Linked DNA regions of Ovis aries. The protein of the gene in region 2 interacts with the protein of the main gene of each other region in a pairwise test. Links are inferred from orthologs where the notes say so. Each region holds a gene or a part of one and is shown on either strand. Other genes may lie near its edges. The genes, in order: GTF2B, DRAP1, NFYB and POLE3.

Region 1 (4,306 bases), on a different chromosome or scaffold from region 2:
ACTGAGGGCATAAAGGAGGTTTCCAGAGTGCTGCTGCTGCTAGTGGTATTTATTCGGGAGACTTGGGTGACAGCTAAGTGTACATGCTCACTTTGTAACTGAACTGCACACTTAAAATCTGTGTGCTAAAAACTTCACAAAAAAAGGTAAAAAGCAAGATGGCATTCATTTTTTATATTAGACTACTTTTTGGAAGGAAGAGAGGTTAGGATTATATGAATATGTTTGTTAAACCACAGAATCATTAGGAAAACACCAAGAAACTGGTTACAATGACTGCTTTGGAGAAGAATTAGATGGCTAGGAGCGAGGGAAAAAAGAAACTGCTTTTCACTTTTCTTCTTGCTTTTTATGATTTGCATGTGTTACCTATTCAAAATAAAATAAAATTGTGCTCAAGCAGTTAACTTTTAATTAAATAACCCACAAGGGTAATACAAAAGAGGAACCACAAGAGTAGGGTAGTGGGGGAAGTCAGGGAAAGAAACAAGAGGGAAGGAATGGAGTATACCACCACCACTGACATTAAAACAACTTAGGCTGCCTAAGAAGCCACATAATTCCTAACTTCATTTTATAGCTATCCTTTACTGTGTCTAGTACTGTACATCTATTATTAATCTTCATTAGCAACCCTTCAAATTAAGCATTGCTGCTACTGCTGCTAAGCTGTTTCAGTCGTGTCCAACTCTGTGCGACCCCACAGACGGCAGCCCAGGAGGCTCCCCCATCCCTGGGATTCCCCAGGCAAGAACAATGGAGTGGGTTGCCATTTCCTTCTCCAATGCATGAAAGTGAAAATCGAAAGTGAAGTTAGTCGTGTCCGACCCTCAGCAACCCCATGTACTGCAGCCTTCCAGGCTGCTCCTTCCATGGGATTTTCCAGGCAAGAGTACTGGAGCAGGGTGCCATTGCCTTCTCCACAAATTAAGCATTACCTCTATTTTAAAGATTATGCTCAGAGAATGATTTTCCTGAAGTCACAGAACTAATGAGTGGTAGAGTTTAGATCTGAACTCACAACATTTGTGTTCTTCTCTGTGAAAACACCAAGCAGTTTCATAGTCCAGTAACTGTCCCTCTTCCTCAGGGGGAAAAAAGCTATCACAGAAATACTAACATCCACCTTTGTTCTCACGGGTAAAAAAAACTCAGAGATGGACAACTGCAATAAACCTAGGGAAAATTTATTTCAAAGAAATATCTCACATTTTTTCTTTTAATGAAGAGAATAAAGCACACAAAGGAAATGTTTCCGTAAAGAATCTATCAAGTGAATTTCCTATATGTAACTACTACAATATGTTATAATAAAGCCCCAATATAACCATATTCATAGCAGATCTGCCCTAGGAGAATGTTATATATAGGTGTTCTTGGGAAGCTAGTTCTCCATTTACCTACAAGGAACCCTAACCTGACAGAGCCACACCCAAGTAGAATGATTGAACATTTAATCACAGAATTAGAATCAGTAAACAAGTATCACTGGCCATAAGAGCTGTTTCCAAGTAGTTTAGCTAAGGCTGCCTCCTGCCCCATCTTTTTAAAATACAGTAACACAAAGTAGTAAGCCTTGGTACTCACCAGAAAGGGCCTGTACTACTCAAAGATTATCATTTTGTGATGATGGCTTTCATCAGGAACTCAATTCCAAAGATGAGAACAAGTTCAGAAAAATTATGCCAGAGTTACCTTGCCTTCCAGAAGCTACAGAACTTAATCTGATATGTTTAGTACATTATGAGTTACCAAGTGTGACAACAGGAAACAGATATCTGAGATTCTATACTCTGTTCTAATACTAACCTTCGAAAAGCCAACATGGGCATGACTCAGTTTACACTTAGGCAAAAATCCTAATATCTACCTCAGGGTCATGAGAGACATAATTAGGGTCTGCAAGCATTTTTCACGTCACAGGATTAAAGGCTGTCTCTAATGCCACTGTATGCATTTGCAGTAGGTATCAATCAGTACATCACATTTTAAAAATATATTAGTGACTTCTCTGCTGCGGCTGCTGTTAAGTCGCTTCAATCGTGTCCGACACTGTGCGACCCCATAGATGGCAGCCCACCAGGCTCCCCCGTCCCTGGGCTTCTCCAGGCAAGAACACTAGAGTGCGTTGCCTTCTGAGTGACTTCCCAGTATGTTAATTTTCTGCAGGCAAAATTTTCTTCAGGAGTATGCAGATGACATCTCTAAAGAAATCTCTTAAGGAGACTTATCAACTCTTCAGAAATGCCTTAGCTTCCACTTCAAAAGGCCTCGGGGATGGTTATCAGTTTCCATCAGGTTTACCAACGCTGACGTCCCTAACTTTTTGTCAGATGGATAAAGGCCTAGAACTAACCCTTTCCCGCTCTCTAGAAGAGGATTCACGGACCCTCCGCTGGCAGACCAACAGATTAAAAAAAACAAGCGTAGAAAATTTAGGAAAAAAGGACAGTTGGATCATACGCAAAAGACCCGAGGCCAGGGGCTGGGGACACCGGAGCCCCCCACATGATAGTGCCTGAGTGAGAAAACGACCAAGGACGCTGGAGGAGAAACGCCGGCGGCTCGTTATCCCCTGCGACACCCCTGACAGCCCTGCGTCTGGAAGTGCCTTTGTCCCGGGCGGCCAGCCGGTCCGGCTGCCTCTCCCCGCACTTCCGAGGCGTTCTGCTCGACGAAGCAGCGGGAGCGGCCGCCCTGCTAGCCCCGGCACTCGCCGCCCGCCCTTCAGCTGGCTGGGCTCTACATGACGTACTAACCGGCTGGTAGACGCCATCTTCCCGGCCACTGCGGCTCCAGCTACAAACAACGACAGACGCAACCGCAAACAGGAAGAGACAGTGGCGACGAAACGCAGCGAGACGGGCTTTTATAGGCGAATCGCCCACGCAGTCGTAATAGGGCGTGGCTACGGGTCCGGAGAAGGGCCAAGAACAGTGAGCTCGGGTACGCCCCGTGCTTTGCGTTTTCTTACTTCCCTATTCACTTTCGATCATTTTCTATGTGGCTGGGCAAATATAGGAAATCACCCGGGAAAATTCCCAAGGGCACTCTGCAAACGTGCTGCACCAGAGATACCCTCAACTTGACTGAGTTACAACACAAAATACTGGGCTCCGTGGAGGGGGCAAAGCCCGCATCCGTTCACTTCAGTTCAGTCGCTCAGTCGTGTCCGACTCTTTGTGACCCCATGAATCGCAGCACTCCAGGCCTTCCTGTCCATCACCAATTCCCGGAGTCCACCCAAACCCATATCCATCGAGTCGGTGATGCCATCCAACCATCTCATCCTCTGTCATCCCTTTCTCCTCCTGCCCTTAATCTTTCCCAGCATCAGGGTCTTTTCAAATGAGTCAGCTCCTCGCATCAGGTGGCCAAAGTATTGGAGTGGCAGCTTCAACATCAGTCCCAGCAATGAACACCCAAGACTGATTTCCTTTAGGATGGACTGGTTGGATCTCCTTGCAGTCCAAGGGACTCTCAAGAGTCTTCTCCAATAACGCAGTTCAAAGGCATCAATTCTTTGGTGCTCAGCCTTCTTTATAGTCCAACTCTCACATCCATACATGACCACAGGAAAAACCATAGCCTTGACTAGACGGACCTTTGTTGACAAAGTAATGTCTCTGCTTTTTAATATGTTGTCTAGGTTGGTCATAACTTTCCTTCCAAGGAGCAAGTGTCTTTTAATTTCTTGGCTGCAATCACCATCTGCAGTGATTTTGGAGCCCAGAAAAATAAAGTCAGCCATTGTGTCCACTGTTACCCATCTATTTGCCATGAAATGATGGGACCAGATGCCATGATCTTAGTTTTCTGAATGTTGAGTTTTAAGCTAACTTTTTCACTCTCCCCTTTCACTTTCATCAACAGGCTTTTTAGTTCTTCCTCACTTTCTGCCATAAGGGTGGTGTCATGTGCATAACTGAGGTTATTGATAATTCTCCCAGCAATCTTGATTCCAGCTTGTGCTTCCCCCAGCGCAGCGTTTCTCATGATGTACTCTGTATAGAAGTTAAATAAGCAGGGTGATGATGTACAGCCTTGACGGACTCCTTTTCCTGTTTGGAACCAGTCCATTGTTCCATGTCCAGTTCTAACTGTTACTTCTTGACCTGCATACAGGTTTCTCAAGAGGCAGGTCAGGTGGTCTGGTATTCCCATCTCTTTCAGAATTTTCCACAGTTTGTGATCCACACAGTCAAAGGCTTTGGCATAGTCAATAAAGCAGAAACATGTTTTTCTGGAACTCTTGCTTTTCCGATGATCAAGTAGATGTGGGCAAAGCCCGCATGCCCGAAGGCTA
Region 2 (3,914 bases):
CCGCCTGCCTCACCAAGCTGCTTCTCCTGGAAGACACATGTCTGCCTCGTGCGCATAGCTCCAGGGTCTGCTCAGAGTCACTGCCTGCTCACCAGCCAGCCTTCATGGGGCCCCCACCACACCACCTACCTCTGCCCCCACTGCCCCTCCTCATGTCCTTTAAGGCAAGTGGCCCAAGCTCTAGTTTCCCAGACTCATTTCTGTTACCTGTCCCTTTGCAGCAACCCAGAGTGAACAGAATGGTCTACATCAGAGAGCCAAGAAGAAGTCATTCAGAGAAGAGGAACCTACCCACGGACACACAGCACCATGAGACAGGCTGTCCCCCAGCATGACCGGCACCAGCTGGCTCAGACCCTCTGCCGCTCTGACCGGCCTTCCTTCCATTGGCACCCCTGGCCCTGCGCTGGCAGAACTGTGGCCTCCAGCCCCCCCTCTTCAGTCAGCTGCTGCCCAGCCCCCCGGGGCTCTGGGTCCCAGCTCAGCATCAGGAAGGAGGTGGAAGGAGAGAAGGAGGCCACAAACCCTGGACAAAAACCGGGACAGACGTGAGTGTTCCCTTTTGTTATTATTTTATTAATAAATTTAAGAACAGCTCTATGGTCTCTCTTCCCCCCAGAGCAACTAAAACAAACTAAAGGGGGTGTGGCCTGGGGGGCAGAGGGCGCTAGGAGTCATAATCCTCTTCTTCCTCTGCGTCAGGTGCTGAGGGGCCCGGGGGTGCTGGGGGCAGAGGCAGGGTCGAGGTGAAGGGCATGAAGGGTGTCGGGGGGCTGCAGGGGAGAAAGCAGTAAAGAAAGATCAGGCCACTCTCTGGTGCCCATCCCCACCCACTCAGCCCCACCTGGGCATCCCCGGAGCCCACTACCCTCTGTACCAACAGGGAGCAAGCCCAGAGAACGGAAGGACCCAGGGCAGGTCACACAGCCCCACCTAGCAGAAGAGGACCTTCTGAGAGTACAGTCCCCAGCCTTGAAGTCCTTCTTAGTTCTTCCCCTACCATCCCCCCAGTCTGCCATGACCAACAAAACCAAGTGGCTAGGGAGGCCAGGAGGGAGGCCAGAGTCAGTCTTGGGGTCAGTGGGCCCCTTGGTGCCACTTACCTCTGAAAGTGGGCAGGGGGGTGGCTGGCCTGGGGTGGGACCTGTGGTGTCTCCTCTTCTCCGTCACTGTCTGTATCCTCAGACTCATCCTGAGAACAAGGCAGGACTTAGAGACTAGAAGGGCAGGGCCCCATCACTGGAAAGCAGGGACAGGAGGCTGACCTCACTAACCCCAATTTACAAAGAAACCAATACAAAGGTCACAGGTGAGGGACCAGGCCCCCAGCCAGCTCATCCTGGCCTGGTATAGGGCTGCCCTGTCCACCCTATGGGCCAGAAGCCTAGGGCCTCACTCACCTCCTGCTCTGAGTCCGTCCCTGACAGCTTCTTGTCCTTGCCTTTGCTTCCCATCCCACCGTTCTTCCGGCCACTGCTGCCTGGCTTCCGGCCCCTTCGGGAAGGTACAGTACATCTGCCCACAGGTCTCCCCACTCCTTCACCACTCCCCAGCCATCCCCAAGTCCAGGGGCCTTGGCCTTCCCCACCTGGACACTGGTCCCTGGCACCCTACCTGCGGGGACCCTTGTCCCCATCCATGTGGTTGTCTTCTCCATCCCCCTGCATGTCAGGCACAGATGCCACCAGGTCCTTCAAGAAGTCAAACTGCTGCTCCAGCTCAATGCACTGTTTCCTGGAAGAAGTGGGAAGGGGTTGGCACTCGGATGAGGCCCAGACATCTGGGCCCTCAACAAGGGACAGTACGGACTCTGTGGATGTCAGGGGAATGGAACCTGGAAAATTTCCACCCCAACCCTCCCCCTTGGCCAGAACATCCTAATCCTCCTCCTCAAATCCACAGATCTCACAGCAGCCTACCAATTCCTTATCAGGGCACAGCCTCCCCCAGGCGTGTGAACTGGAGGAAGACCCCCAACTGGGCCCTCTAGGATCGGAGCCACTCACAGGTGGGATGTAGTCATGGTCTTGGCGTTTCGGGACTGGGTAACTTGGCATGCTTTCTTCAACAGAGACTCCAAGAAAAGCTCGAGCGCCCGAGCTGAGGAGGGTCAAGGAGAACGCAGGGTGGTGGCCCAGTCCACAAAAAGCGACCCCGGGGCTGCCGGGCTCCCCCACTCCCCCATCCCGACAGCTCCCGACAGGATACAGATGATGACAGGCACGGCCGCCGCCACCTTCCCAATCTCTTCATCCGTCTGCATGATCTTCTTGATTCGTGCCTGGGGAGGGGGCAGACAGCTCGGACCCCGTAGCCTCCGTCCCAGAAAGGGTGCTTAAGCCGGGCAGAGAGAGGGAGCATCCCGGGAGAAAGGGGGCGGGGGGCACCCACGCTGGAAGGGCACGGAAGGGGGCGGGGCGTACGGGGCCCCGAACACGGCGATGCGCCCGCCTCCCTAGTCCGGCCTGGGCCGGAGCTTCCCGAGAGCCCGGCCCGTTCCTCTGGGGCCCGCTCACGTGCTCACCGGCGGGAACCGCGCGTTGTACTTCTTCTTCTTGCTCGGCATCTCGGGGCCTCTCCCGCCGCGCCGGACCCAGCGCCGCCGCCCGCAGCCTCCCGGCACCCGGGCCTGCTCTTAGCCCGTCCGCCGCGGTTCCCCCGGGTCCTGGTGCCGCCGGCTCCGCCCCCAACGCTTCCTACAGGGTCCTAGCGCCGCCGGTCAGGACGCCGCCGGCAGGGCCCGAGCGCCCTCCCCCTTAGAGCCTCCCGGGCTTTGCGCGTCCGTCCGGGGCGGAACCGCCACTCCCGCCCGCCCCCAAGACCTGAAGAGCGAACGTTAGCTCCGCCCCCCAAGGCCCGCCCCTCCTCGCCTTCCCTGATGGCCCCGCCCCCATGGCCCCGCCCCTTCCCGGCCCCGCCCTGTGCTGCGTTTGTCTATAAAGTTCTTGTTGAGGCGCCGGGGTACTAAGATGGCGGCGGCGGCGGCAGCCGTGGCGGGGGCGGGGCGCGGCGGTGGCAGCGGCGCAGATCCCCGGCAGGAACGGAGCCGGGCCCGGGGCTGGCCCGGCGCCGAGCGCAGCGAAGGCCGGAGGTGACGCTGGGGTTGGCGGGAGGGGGCAGGACGGGGGCGCAGCTCGGGCCGTGGGCACTAATGGCGGCGGGCGCGGCGGGGCGGGAGGCAGGCTCTCCTGCAGCCTCTATCCAGCCGGGGTTCGAGTCCAGGCACCGCCCCGTTGGTCTCGGATCGGACACTGCCCGTTTCTCGCCTCAGTGCCCTCGTCTTTAAGTAGGTTGGATAACGCTCGCCCGGAGGCCTGGCCCCATGGGCCCTGCCTCGGTGCGGCGAGGACGTGTGCTTTGCCTCCCTCCATTAAATCCCAGCGCCCGGGAGAGCGGCCAGGCTCTGGCAGGGCCAGGAGGCGTAGCTGGGCCGGCGGTTCCCGCATTTGAATTGCCGTTTCGGCCCTATCACTCACTGAAGGTGTGACCTGCAGTGAGCCCCTTCTCTCTGAGCTTCGGTTTCCTCGTTTGTAGGTCAAGGAGAGCAGTAATAACACTAACTACATTTATATAGCTTTTGTTCCACCTCAGGCGGTTAATTCTGCACAACTGCTTGAGGCAGTAACAAGTTGTTATCCATTGTGGAGACGCGGCAGCCGAGGCCCAGGCCCACACCGTTCAGTTCAGTGCCTGGCACCCCCTGCTGCTGCTGCTGCTGCTGCTGCTGCTGCTGCTAAGTCGCTCCAGTCGTGTCCGACTCTGTGCGACCCCATAGACGTCAGCCCAACAGGCTCCCCCGTCCCTGGGATTCTCCAGGCAAGAACACTGGAGTGGGTTGCCATTTCCTTCTCCAGTGCATGAAAGTGAAAAGTGAAAGTGAAGTCGCTCAGTCGTGTCCGACTCTTAGTGACCCG
Region 3 (3,567 bases), on a different chromosome or scaffold from region 2:
ATTAATTTCATTTTTTTTTTTAGCATAGCTGCTAGAAAATCTGAAGTCCTGTATACAGCTCACATTATATTATCTTGCTTAACTGCATTTATGCAGTAACTCTTGTTACTTTTCTCCAGGATGTAAAATAGGTGTGGAGGTGAAAGACAGTGTGTTTCAGCAAGGATTTGGTCATTCCTGTTAGACGTGACTTTGGAATTGCATGGTTTAGTCTATTACAGTTTCACTTTGAAACCCTAGATCGCTGAGTGAATAAGATGACAGGTGTGTGCTTCTTTTGGTAGGCTTTTTCATAAACTCAAAACCTATTCCTGACACTCTGTGTCTTTATTAATAAAAATGTCACTAGATGTCATTATTTCACTCCCTTGTAAGCCTTACACAAACTTATTTGTTTTTAAAAACTTTCTGGTGTCCTCACTGGTGGAAACGCCAAGGCAGAGAAGCAGGACTTGAGTCTAGCCCACAGGACGCTCCAGACATAACAGGATTGATTTTCTTGGGCACTTGGTTAGTAAGAATTTTCATCTTTATTGGGTAATAGAGTCATCTAGTGGTTGCTTTTGTACCTAAATTCTGTTTTTTGTGAATAGCTGTCAAAGCCTCTCTCCTTGTATTTGAGTTTTCAGTCTCACTCTGGGGGTTCGAATTTTGACAACATACATTATTCAGTGTTATTAGCAGGTTAACAGTCATTAACTGAAATTTATATTCTTCTGAATAACTTTCTATTTTTGCAGGTTGTTAGGAAAGTGGTGATTGTATTCCCTGCAGATTTACCTTCGATTTTTCTCCTCAGATTGCAAAAGATGCCAAAGAATGTGTTCAAGAATGTGTGAGCGAGTTCATCAGCTTCATAACATCTGAAGCGAGTGAAAGATGCCACCAAGAGAAGCGGAAGACAATCAACGGAGAAGACATTCTTTTTGCCATGTCTACCTTAGGCTTCGACAGTTACGTAGAACCTCTGAAACTATACCTTCAAAAGTTCAGAGAGGTAAGTAAAGTGTCTCCTGTTATGCTTTTAAGAAAATTAAGGTACACTATTCCCTTTAACTTTTTAAACATGTGAATCATTTCTCAGAAGTATGTAATCAGTTATATTATTGAACTTAAATAGCAAGTCCTTTCTTCTTCCCTTTATTACTAATGGCAGCATAATTATGTAATGACTAAAAGAGCATGGACTCTGGATTTACACCACCTGGATGCTGAACTCCATGACCCTGGGCAGACTATTTAAGTACTTTAGGCCTTGGTTTCCTGGTCTGTAAAGTGAGGCTAATAATAGGACTTAAGACAAAGTAAAACAATCCATGTACAACCCTTGGCCTGGCACATACTGAATGGTCAATAATGTCACTAATAGCACATGCTGTTATTGTTATTAATTTAAAAGAGGTAGTATCTTAGCTTGGGGCATTTAGATAAAAAGATAGGGAACTACAACTATATCATTTTCTTATATTAATTAAATTTTTCTACATCTCATGTTTGGTTTTGCTTTGCCTATGGTATGAATTTGTGAAAATGAATTGAGATCAGCATATTTTTAAATTCTACACTCCAACTTGGGTGTCAGATTCATACTACTCATATTTCCTTAATGTCTTTAGTGTTAGAATCCCATTAACTTTGTGATATCTGTACAAAATGACTGGAGTAGGAAGAGAATATGTTAATTCTCTACAGAACTTTTCCAGATCTTCAGCATCATTAGATTATTAGAACCTGAGAGTAGACAGACACTTAAGCGGTCTTCGATCCAAACTGTATTCTGATTGAGGAATTTTAAACTCCCAGCTGTCTGCCTCTGTGCTGCCCCGTTGGCCAAGAGATGTGTATATAGTTAAATGATACTGGGATCACTTGTAGTAGATTTGCAAGCTGAGTATTTATAATATTTTGCAGACTACTTTATCTGTAATTAGACTTTTCTTTTTGACGTAGTGTCGAATTAGAATAACTTTTTACTCATAAGTATTTTAGATTTTCTAGGTCATTACTAACACTGTCTTGTGATGACTACTACATATATAGCAGTTAGCATTTTGAAGGACCTCTCCGTATGTTATTAACCAGAAGTGTTAATAAACAGTTTTATAAGAATAGAAGCTTCTAATTCTAGGAACTAAGCAAGCATTTTCATTTAGGAAGTAGGTTTTTGTTGCTGCTGTTGATGTTTTGAGTACAAGTGATTACTGTTTCATTTCCTTCCCCAGGCTATGAAAGGAGAAAAAGGAATTGGTGGAGCAGTCACAGCTACAGATGGACTAAGCGAAGAGCTTACAGAGGAGGCATTTAGTAAGTAGTGTTATGATACATTTATGCAAGTAAATTGTTGGCAGTGATTAACAGGATATGTCTTTAGTGGAACTTTTGGAATATTAGCACTGTGTGTTTTGACATAGTACTATTTTGAATAGTTCTTACTAGTTCATGCCCTTATATTTGAAGTTCGTGAGGGATAAGTGTATAAATTTTAATTCTGCAGAGATTATAATCTTTTACCAATAGTTCTGATTTCCATAGTCCCTAATTTTTTATTTAAGATTCATGAGATAGGAATATTGAGAATTGTTTATAATATTAAATCTTGTGATTTAAATAAATTTGAACTGAAGGTTTCTTAAAAATTGAGACATTAGGCATTGGTGAAATAAAAGGTCTATGGTGACTATATTTCTCATGTAAAATTTATATGTATATATTTTTATATTTCTCATATTTAAAATACATACTGCTTAGTTATGTAAGTGTTGTTCTCAGCCAAGCCTAAGCCTAGAGTTTAGGTGTATTTATGAATCAGAAACTTAATCCATCTTTTATGCACATGGGCAGTTAGTACACTTCATAAAATTGAAAAAATGCTATAGAAAAAAATGTGCTTTTGGGGAAACTTTTTTTAAATGGAAAATCACCCAGTCTTAAGATTCAGGTCAAGAAAGCAGATGCACTTCTTTACCTACTTTGGCATTTGTTTGTTTGTCTTTTAGCTAACCAGTTACCAGCTGGCTTAATAACTGCAGATGGTCAGCAACAAAATGTTATGGTTTACACAACATCATATCAACAGGTACCATACTTTTTTTGTATTTTAAATTACTTAAATTATATTCATTGATTTTTTTAAAAAAAAATCACAGGTAGTTAGCATCAACATAATTATTAAGAACTGGATAAAGAGGCTTGTTAAAAACTGTTTTCTCAAAATATATAACTGTGTATAGTATTCTCTTATGGTTACAGATATGTACACAGATGTTCATTTAGTCTGTCCTTCATATCCATGGGTTCCACACCATGGATTCAACCAGCTGTGGATCATATGCCGTCTCCAATCCGTCGTTGGTTGAATCCGCAGATGGAATTTACAGATGCAGAACCCGTGGATACTGAAAGCTGACTAAAGGACTTGAGCATCTGTGCATTTTGGCATCTACAGGGCGTTCTGGAACCAGTCTGCCGTGGATATTGAGGGAATGAGTGTATTCACATAGATTTCTATAAAGATATACAAGAGATTGTTGAAGTAGCTCCTTAGGTAGAGAGAATGGAGATTTGGGA
Region 4 (2,690 bases), on a different chromosome or scaffold from region 2:
AGCCTCCCAAGCAGGTTACACGCCTACAGGCAATATAGAAGGGCTCTAAGCCAAGTGGGTCTATAGAAAACAAAATTAAATTAATGTTACTGTCAAATGAAGAAACAGCAGATTTTATTGTTCTCTTCAACCTTTTTAGTAGTTTCCTAAAGCTAAGCCATTCTTATCACTTGAAATAAGCTAGTATTGCCAAATATTGTATAATCAAATAGGTTGACTGTGATCAAACCTCAATTTTTCCTGAGCCTGAACTGCCTCTGTGATTTGGGACACAGTTAGCAGCATGGAAGTTATTATTACTTTTCTGGGGGGCAGGGAGGGAACTGGGGGGGGTCAACAATTGCCTAACTATATGTGTATGTAAACAAAAGAGATCAAACTGACCAATTAAATTTGCTATTCAGAATCCCTCTTGCCAAAAGTTATAACCTTGAGACTGATTAAGCAAACCAGGATTCTGCTACTCAGATGCTCCGAGTCTGGTAAGCACTGGCTTTGAAGATAATCCTGATGATTAATTCAGTTTTTATTTCAATCTCATCAGGCTCTTCTGCCTAAGACTACTCTGCCCAGCCGGAACAAGCTTCACACAAACGTGTACCAAGTTTTCTCGTGGTTCTTTCCAAGGGGCGTCTCCCCATCCTCCTCAGTTGTCCACTTCCTCCTCTTTATTCTGTTCTTCTTCCTCCAGCCTTTCCTCATCTTCATCATTGTCCTCATCCCTGCTCTTGTCCTGCTCTTCCGAATCTGTTTTTTTGTCTTTGTCCTTCTTCTTTTGCTCTGAAGCTTCATTCTTGCCTTTCTGCTCCCTCTTATAAGCTTCCAGAGCTTCTTTTAATGGGGTAACGAACCGCTGAAACTCCGTCTCCTCCATGGCTGACAGCACATCGCTGGCATTCAGTGTCTTGCGTTTCCCTTTCATTGCAAAGTTGTTGGCACAGGATGTGGCGTACAGCACGAAGACGCTGGTGGCGTGGGAGATGGCGCTCCGGGCCTCCTTGGAGATGCTGACACCGTCCGGGAGCGCCTCCTTGATGATTCTGGTGATGACGGCATTGGGCAGGTTTAGGTCCTCGGGCCTCTCCGCCATGGTCGCGGCCGGGGACCATGCCTGCGACCTCCTCTTCAGGCCGCCACGGCGTCTGGACTTCCCGCGTCGCCACAGTCTGACCCAGCGAGGCTTCCGTCCCACCCTTTTTATTTTTAAAATGTATAATCTCTAATGATCAGAAGATTTAAAATATTAACAATGTTCAATTTTTTAGTTTCTTTATGGTTCTTGATTGTAATTTTTTCACAGAATTTTTATAAGTTTAGCTTTGACCTCTTGATCTATGACTCATTTAGAGCTAATTTTCATCTACCGCATTAGGTAGTGGTTGAGGTTCCTTTTTTTCATATACGGATATCTAATTGATGTGGTATAATTTGTTGAAAAATATATTATTTCTGCTTCAATTACTTTGATATCTTTGTAAAACTTTTCATCTATTTAAGTATATTCCTGGACTTTCTTTTTTTTTTGGTATTTTTAAATTTTTTTTTAATTTTAAAATCTTTATGATGTTTCAGTGATTTTTATGTTTATTCTTATATCAATACCTTACAACCTTCCTTTCGTTCATTTAGTTGTTTTTATATTTTTATTTTATATTAAAATACAATTGATTAGCAATAATGTGTTAGTTGCATGTATGCAGCAAAGTGATTCAGTTATACCCATACAAGCATCCTTTGTCTTTTAAATTATTTTTCCATTTAGATTATTACAGAATATTAACCAGAGATCCCTGTGCTCTACAGTAGGTTCTTGATTATCTATTTTAAATATAGCAGCATATACATGTCAATCCCAAACTCACAGTCTATTCCTCCCCTCCCTGCTTTTTCCCCTGGTTATCATAATTGTGTTTTCTAAGTCTCTGAGTGTTCCTGTTTTATAAATAAGTATATTTGTATCTTTTATTTTAAGATTCTTACATATAAGCCATATCATATGATATTTGTCTTACTTACTTCACTTAGTATAATAATCTCAGATCAAACCTTGTTGCTGTAATTGGTATATTTCATTCTTTTTAATTGCTGGGTAATATTCCATTGTGTGTATATATATATATATATATATACTGTATTTTGTTTCTCCATTCATCTGTTGACATTTAAGTTGCTTCCAAGTCTTGGCTATTGTAAACAGCACTGTGATGAACATCAGGGTGCATGTAACCTTTTGAAGCATGGTTTTTTCCTAGTATGTATCCAGAATCCATATGCTGGTTCACTTAGTAGGTATATTGAGTTTTTTAAGAAACCTCTATATTGTTCTCTTTAGCTATCATATCATTTTACATTCACACCAGCAATGTAGGAGAATTCCCATTTCCCCATACCCTCTCCAACATTTGTCATTTGTAGACATTTTTAATGATGGCCATTCTGAATTTGCATTTCTCTAATACTTAGTAATATTGAGCATCTTTAATATGAGTCGTTCATTTGTATGTTGTCTTTGAAGTATCTAAAACAGAACTATTTTCCTTCACTAAAACTGATTTGTGTGCTACCTATTGTTCCCATTACTTCTTTGGAATTTCTAGAAACCACCAGAAATACTTTTTCCTGATTCTAATTTGTCCTTTTCAAGAAAGGAAATTCATAATTCATATATATGTACATAAATAATTCTTTCT

Evidence for each region.
Region 1: the proteins of DRAP1 (region 2) and GTF2B interact in binary tests that used the Homo sapiens proteins (3 or more experiments, as listed by UniProt). The two-hybrid records come from large-scale screens. The link is inferred for Ovis aries from reciprocal best matches to the Homo sapiens genes DRAP1 and GTF2B.
Region 3: the proteins of DRAP1 (region 2) and NFYB interact in binary tests that used the Homo sapiens proteins (3 or more experiments, as listed by UniProt). The two-hybrid records come from large-scale screens. The link is inferred for Ovis aries from reciprocal best matches to the Homo sapiens genes DRAP1 and NFYB.
Region 4: the proteins of DRAP1 (region 2) and POLE3 interact in binary tests that used the Homo sapiens proteins (3 or more experiments, as listed by UniProt). The two-hybrid records come from large-scale screens. The link is inferred for Ovis aries from reciprocal best matches to the Homo sapiens genes DRAP1 and POLE3.

Annotation. Positions count from the first base shown.
Region 1 is NC_056054.1:66,124,017-66,128,322, forward strand, and holds the start of GTF2B (transcription initiation factor IIB), read right to left. Parts: upstream 2,846-4,306; 5' UTR 2,777-2,845; coding exon 2,760-2,776; intron 1-2,759. UniProt on the Homo sapiens protein: General transcription factor that plays a role in transcription initiation by RNA polymerase II (Pol II). Involved in the pre-initiation complex (PIC) formation and Pol II recruitment at promoter DNA.
Region 2 is NC_056074.1:40,463,770-40,467,683, reverse strand, and holds DRAP1 (dr1-associated corepressor), read right to left. Parts: upstream 2,699-3,914; 5' UTR 2,567-2,698; coding exon 2,525-2,566; intron 2,282-2,524; coding exon 2,209-2,281; intron 2,101-2,208; coding exon 2,007-2,100; intron 1,735-2,006; coding exon 1,615-1,734; intron 1,495-1,614; coding exon 1,401-1,494; intron 1,193-1,400; coding exon 1,104-1,192; intron 774-1,103; coding exon 668-773; 3' UTR 556-667; downstream 1-555. Other genes in the region: C21H11orf68 (UPF0696 protein C11orf68 homolog), read left to right, coding at 2,970-3,091. UniProt on the Homo sapiens protein: The association of the DR1/DRAP1 heterodimer with TBP results in a functional repression of both activated and basal transcription of class II genes.
Region 3 is NC_056056.1:173,375,372-173,378,938, reverse strand, and holds part of NFYB (nuclear transcription factor Y subunit beta), read left to right. Parts: intron 1-799; coding exon 800-997; intron 998-2,222; coding exon 2,223-2,304; intron 2,305-2,996; coding exon 2,997-3,124; 3' UTR 3,125-3,567. UniProt on the Homo sapiens protein: Component of the sequence-specific heterotrimeric transcription factor (NF-Y) which specifically recognizes a 5'-CCAAT-3' box motif found in the promoters of its target genes.
Region 4 is NC_056057.1:710,572-713,261, reverse strand, and holds POLE3 (DNA polymerase epsilon subunit 3), read right to left. Parts: upstream 1,191-2,690; 5' UTR 1,091-1,190; coding exon 647-1,090; 3' UTR 531-646; downstream 1-530. UniProt on the Homo sapiens protein: Accessory component of the DNA polymerase epsilon complex. Participates in DNA repair and in chromosomal DNA replication.